Linked DNA regions of Rattus norvegicus. The protein of the gene in region 1 interacts with the protein of each later gene in a biochemical or structural test. Links are inferred from orthologs where the notes say so. Each region holds a gene or a part of one and is shown on either strand. Other genes may lie near its edges.

Region 1 (3,521 bases):
ACATAAATATTAAAACACCTGGGAGTTTGTACAACCCTTAATTTAGTGTTTTTAGAGCAGGCAAACTAAATGCATACTAAGTTTGATCTTTGACACTAGTAGATAGAAAAAATGAGTATTTAATAAAGGCTGTATGAATCAACGAGAAACTATTTTGATGGTGCAGAAAATAATATTGCTATTAAAGTAAGAATGACTTGCAATATGGCAGAAAAGTAATTTGTGCAACCCTTTATGGTTTTAGCACATATAGAGAGAGGTCAGACATGATACCCAAATTATAGATCTCTACAATGACATTGATTTCTAAAATGAGGAGGAATAGAAAGGAATGAATGTCGTAAGATAGAAAATAATGATGGATGATCAAAAGATGGAAGCAACACAGGTAGAAAAAAATAAAGATATTAGGCTTTATAAGAAAGTCTTTGGTATTTTGCAGTTGAAACATAATTGTCATAACAGGTACAGTTTGAAAACTACTTCTCATATTTTATTTGCTACCTTAAGAATATCTTCCTTTTGTTGTGGTTTCCGTTTTTCAGATTCATCTAAAAGTTCATCTGTGTGAATGATCCACTTGGTGATATGCTCTACATTCTGATCAAAGGATTCCATGTGTTTCTGGTATTCCTGAATTGTATGGAAATATATCTGGTTAGACAAAATTCCTAAAGCATTTTTCCACTGTCTACAAAGAAAACAATGAAATATTTAAATTACCTTTAAGTAACATCAGAAATAGAAAGTAATACTAAGTATTGAAAAATATCTTGGAATTATGAGACTCTATATCAGCATATATAGAGAGCAGTTGAATTTTCAAACACAAGTATCATTCCTAATTTATTATTTTCTTGTTTTTGTTTTGTTAGCTTGCTGAGAAGGAAGAGTGAAAAAGAAATGTTGTGTTTTAAAAGAAAATGGTCCCCACAGCCCCCACTATTGTAAGACATGGCTTTACTAGAGTAGGTTAGGCCATGTAGAAAATCTCATTGGGGGATGGGCTTTGAGGTCTCATTTGCCCAGGCTTTGCCCAATATGGAACACAATCTCCCATTCTACTGCCTGGATATCATGAAGTAGAACTCTCAGCACTCTGTCTGGCTGTATATTCCCATGTTTTCCACCATGATAATAATGAACTAAGTCACTAAAACTTTAAGTCAGCCATAATTAAATGTTTTCCTTTAAAAGAGTTGCTATAGTCATGGTGTCTCTTCACAACAATAAAACCTCAGCTAAGACAAAAAGCTTCCTGCCTCTACTCTTACCAACAAAAGATTTAGCCATTCTTCTACTCTGGAGGTGACAGCTATCCAGTTACTATTCAGAAGCGTCAGTTTATCTTCCACCAAAGTTTCTTTCTTGCCCAATACTGTTTTCAAGGAATCTCCTAGTTCCGTGACACTCTTCAAGTGAGCCTTCTGTTTCTCAATCTCTTTCTGAGTAGCCTGTAGGAAAAAATAGCATTAAGATTCAAGTAATGCACTTTATGTAGAATTGGGAAATTTTGTTATACAAATGTGATAGATATTTTAATCATAATTATATATGTTTAATAACTAAACCTAGAGATTTTTCAATTAATATTACATGTTTATTAATTTGATCATGTATTTGTTAAAGGCAGACAATTTAAGACTCATCTATAAAGCAATACCTGTAATTTGAAAATTAAACCACTACGCCTCGGTTATTTTTCTATAGCAACATATTTAGCCTTTTGGAGATATGAATATTTTTGACACCTCGTTAAACTGAATGAACTCCTCACATAATGATTTCTAAAGTATAAAATAAATGTACAAAAAAACTGACACGAAGAAGAAAAGTCATTTTAAAATGAAGTCTATGTCCCAATAACTGCAAGCAAAGTCAAAAAAGACAAAATCATAGATGAAGAACCGCACATCTTGGCAAGTTTCAAGTAGATTCAAATAAAACTTGTACAAGTACAGTCACAGAAGTATTCATGGATAGAAGATAAGAGTATATCTCTATCAGACAGTAGATTTCTTACTCCTAGATGTTATCAACAAATAAACACTTTCATCTATGGATTCTATATTTGTTCTTTTATTATCATTTTATTTTAAAATACAGATCCTGTAGTAACTCATGCCAAATGAATTTATTTACTATGAGCAAAATGATTATTTATAATGAAGGTTTTAATTTGTGGTACAAGAATGAGACAAGGATTGCTTAAAATCAATTTGTTCAGATATTATTCATGACTGTTTATTGCATTCCTCTATGGCACCAGATACTATTGTAAAATTGCCACAGATAACACTATTAACTCGTTTTTGGAATAAGAAAAGTACCAAGTTTGGGTAGACACAGCTTATTTAGAAATAAATAGATAAAAATTAAATTTAAACCCTCTAAACATCCTGTAAATTCTAGGGTAAAATAGATTCTCTATAAATATAGATGGTAATCATTGTTATAGGTACAAAAATAAAACAGTATTGCCTTTATACTCAAGACACTTAGTTTTCTCCCTCAAGCTGTAATTTATAAGCTCCTTTTTAATTTTAAAGTGAGGAAAACATAAGATTATATTCATTATATTCACTATGTTATATCTACATTTGTAGACATAAGGATAGCAAAATTGGGGCTGCATATGTTTCATTAAGTGATATTGTGGTATAGGAAAACATTTACCATGAGAAGAATTCTACTGAAATCATAATTGCAGCAAATGTTAACATTTTATGGGTAAAATATATGATCAGTTAGGTTCAAAAATACTAACCAATAAACTTGATGGTTTTCAGTAAATAAATGTACTATTTCCTAGTCACAAATATATTTTAAAGTTACTCTGATTTGTTAATCATGAAGGAATGGGTAAAACAGATGAATCTTTTCTTATGAAAATTTGCATTATAATCATCGAAATTGGGAAAATTCATTGAGATCAACTCTTCACAGGTAATAGTAAAAGTTAATTTAAGGCAAACTAAAGGTTATTTAATGGTGAGTTACACATGTAAGGTAAATTGTAGAGAAATTTTAATCCAGCAACCAGGGTGCTCTGGCAAAGAAAAACAACTAAAAACTTTCTAAGGCTATATTTTCTGGATGGAATGACATAGCCTCTGTTACATTATGATCTAGATGGAATAGAGACATAACCTTAGTACACGCCTTTAATTTCAAACAATGAAGTGAAGTTTAATTTGTAAAGAGATGCAGCCATCTTTAAAAGTGATATTTAATTGAGGGACAGACAAAGTAACAAATCAGAGAAATCTGTGACAGGATGAATCAGAAATAGGTTATGCCCTACTCTCACAAGCACAGACTAGAAAGAGAGGCAATTGAGACAGGAGTGCCACATGTTCTACTATGTTCATAGCAGCCTTATTTATAATAGCCAGAAAATGGAAAGAACCCAGATGCCCTTCAACAGAGGAATGGATACACAAAATGTGGTACATCTACACAATGAAATATTACTCAGCTATCAAAAACAATTACTTTATGAAATTCGCAGGCAAATGGTT
Region 2 (3,521 bases), on another chromosome or scaffold:
AGAAAAAAAACAAAACAAAACATGCAGTATCTTGTTTATCAATACGTACAGAAACAAAGAGAAGTAAAAGATCGAAAAAATGTGTACTTTACAGTAAAGTAAGCTGGACCCAGGCCTGCCTGCTTTTCTGTTGGTTAGATCAGCTCTGACCTGTCTATATCCTGAGAAGAATCAATGATTGGTTCTTCCAGTATTTAAAGTCTCAGGAAGTCACACTCAGCTTAGATACACACAGTAAGAGGTCCCAATAGGATCAGGAATGGCAGGCCAGGGGACATTGGAGTAGAAATTAAGTTTGCCCTTAATTCTATCATCATGTGTCCTGGGTAATTTTTTGTTTTTGTTTGTTTTCTGGTCAACTTCACACAAGTCGGGGTCATCTGGGAAAGGGAACCACAAGTGAGAAAAATCATCCCATCGACAAGTCTGCAGGTCATTTCCTTGATTAACCATCACTGTGGGAGGGCCCAGCCCTCTGTGGAACATCCCATCCCGGGGAGGTGGTCCCGGGTGCTATAAGAAAACAGGTTGATCCGAAAAAAAGAACCAAAAAAAAAAAAAAAAAAAAAAAAGAAAACAGGTTGAGCAAGCCATGAGAGCAAGTCAACAAACCAGGCTCTTCCATGGCCTCTGTTTCCGTTCCTGCCTCTAGGCTCCTACTGGAGTTCCTGCCCTAGCCTCCCTCAGTGATGACTGGAGAACTGGGAGTTCCTTCCATGAGTGAGTTTCCTTTTGCTTTGCTCTTCATCACAGCAACAGAGAAACCTACACCGTAAACACCCTAAACATTCTTCTTCATCCTGGATGACACTCTCACACCCCCTTTCAACACTGCCCGGAAGTCACTTACCCATGATGTATACTCCTTCATTTGGTGCTGGTTGCTATGAGAACCCCCTGCATGGCCCCTCCAGAAGCAGTCCTGGCAGAGCTGGTAGTTGTGACACTGCTGGCATCGGTATCGGAATCCCATCATGCTCTCACTGTGACAGTAGGAACACTCAACCGGATGGAAGACTAGGGAGGAAGTAAATGAGGAAGAAAAAAAAAAAAAACAGGAGTGTGAACTAGACAAGAAAAACACCTCTCTCGGGGAATTCTGTTCTTCAGCTGTGTGCCCTGCTGATTTCAGACCAATTCTGATTGAGAGAAGCATTTAGTTTATTTCTAGAACTGCACTTTTGAAGCATATGCATGTTTGTATGTGGGGGTGAGAGGGTGAGTAGGTATAAAATGGGACGAAGAATCAATGTCCTCTAGCAGCACAGATTACTGTAACGACCTTGGCTGTCTACCCCTATTTCTTATGTCATAAGAATGTAAATTGTCCAAACTGACCAGTTTTCCCCCCATATCATCTCCAGGAGCCCAGGAGATGTCATGAGGACACAGCAGCACAGTGGCTGGACACAGTTCAGGACCTAGTAGGCAAGGGCAAGGTGTTAACAAAGTAAAAAAATGGGAGGAAGATAAAAGAAATGAAATGGGGGAATAGAAAAGCTAGATGAGAGAACTGAGTTCTTAAAAAAAATAGTCACTAGTGGGCTTATTTAATGAGTGACACTGCCTTTATCTGAGACACACACACACACACACACACACACACACACACACACACACACACACACTTTTCTGGGGTAGAAGGATAGGACCCCAAAAGATGAAGAAATTATTTGAACATGGCTCTGACTTAGACTGCTTGAGAGACACTTCACTTGTTGCTAGGAAATGTGAAGTGCCAAGCTGGCCAAGTAAAGGCTTTGAGATTGAACCTAACACATAATCAAATCCAAACTGTCTTCATGCCATGAGCTAAAGATACTAAGACAGCAGCAGCAGCAGCAGCAGTAGCAGCAACAACAATAACAACAATAACTTCTTGCATTGTTGCTATCATCTTACTAACTGGCCAAGAAAAGTAATACAGATAGAATAAATGATGGTAAAAAGTAAAATGGGAGAAAAGAACATATCGTGTTCTTGATGGGTTGTTGTTTAAAGAAGACAACAAGCATCTTCTGGCTTCTGGGAAAGTCAGGGGTATGAGGTACGTCTGGGTAACCACGCTGGCCAGATGCCTAAGAAATAGATCTCTGGTGGGTAACAGGAAGCACTGAGATGTGAGAACTGAAATCACAGAGTTCTGATTGGCATACAGCGCCTTCACACCTTCACAGAGTTCTGATTGGTGCACAGCTTCTACACAGAGTTCTGATTGGCGCACAGCTTCTTCACAGAGTTCTGATTGGCGCACGGCTCCTTCACAGAGTTCTGATTGGCGCACGGCTCCTTCACAAAGTTCTGATTGACGCACAGCTCCTTCACAGATTTCTGATTGGCGCACGGCTTCTTCACAGAGTTCTGATTGGTGCACGGCCTCTTACGGAGTTCTGATTGGCGCACAGCTTCTTCACAGAGTTCTGATTGGCACACAGCTCCTTCACAGAGTTCTGATTGGCGCACGGCTCCTTCACAGAGTTCTGATTGGCGCACAGCTCCTTCACAGAGTTCTGATTGACACACAGCTCCTTCTGGGATGCCCACCAGAACTCTGACCCCATCCTGTCTCACAGCAGGTACTTACATGTGATTACATATATGTGATTTTTAGTAATTGCAAAGGAACTAGGAACTTTATTCTCTAAACTTTGTTCAAAATAAACTTAGGAATAGTTAGAGACAACAGAGTCAGATGCTAAAAATTCCAAATGAGAATTTAAAACGAAGTCATCTTTCCCCAGTGTGCATTAAAGCGACAAATAGACATGGGCTACATTATTTTCTATTCAAGTTGGAGAAATTCTGTGGTTTGACGGAAAAACCACAAACATTAAATAGAGGCTCTAGTTTGTTCTATGTGTAAATTTCTTTAAACCGTATCCTAGGTTGTATTTTACATTTAAATCTGGATATGTCAATGGTAAACATCTCTTATATTAGAAACCTTTGCTATTTTTGAAAAGAAACATGCAGTGGAATTTATACTACCTTGTCTTTAACATAGATTTACTTAATGGACGGCTATCACATTGAACAGGTAGGTGCCGTAAGGTGAGCAAGTTGCTGTCATTTATTGCTCTCACCTATTTCTGGGTGATTGCTTTGGGAAAAAATGGTTAATGTTTTAGATACCAGCATCGGACATTCCCTTCTAAAACAATCCTTTACTTGGGATTTTTCTATCGAACACAAGTAGCTTATAATTGAAGTTACAATTTATCACCACCATCACCACCACCATCGCCTTCACCTTCACCTTCACCTTTATCGTCATTATTTTAGCATTCCTCACCCTAATGTTGTAGCATAAAAGGTTTGATGAGTCAGGAGGTAGTTTTGTTAAATGATCCACTGAACAAATTTCCCTAAAACTGTCATGGGCTTCCTAACTGTAGACTTTATGGTTGAATTTGAGCAATTTAAATAGCGTTTTGGTCCAGCAGTAACTACTCACCATTTTCTACATTTGCCAGTCGATGCAGAAGAGGCAGCCATACCAGACACTGTGGAGGAGGGTCTGA

Evidence for each region. The genes of interacting proteins can lie anywhere in the genome.
Region 2: the proteins of Dmd (region 1) and Dtna form a complex in vitro, tested with the Homo sapiens proteins (3 studies listed by BioGRID and IntAct, with this or other methods). The link is inferred for Rattus norvegicus from reciprocal best matches to the Homo sapiens genes DMD and DTNA.

What each region holds. Positions count from the first base shown.
Region 1 is NC_086039.1:52,112,073-52,115,593, reverse strand, and holds part of Dmd (dystrophin), read right to left. Parts: intron 1,455-3,521; coding exon 1,275-1,454; intron 634-1,274; coding exon 505-633; intron 1-504. UniProt on the Homo sapiens protein: Anchors the extracellular matrix to the cytoskeleton via F-actin. Ligand for dystroglycan.
Region 2 is NC_086036.1:15,154,027-15,157,547, reverse strand, and holds part of Dtna (dystrobrevin, alpha), read right to left. Parts: coding exon 3,455-3,521; intron 1,018-3,454; coding exon 851-1,017; intron 1-850. UniProt on the Homo sapiens protein: May be involved in the formation and stability of synapses as well as being involved in the clustering of nicotinic acetylcholine receptors.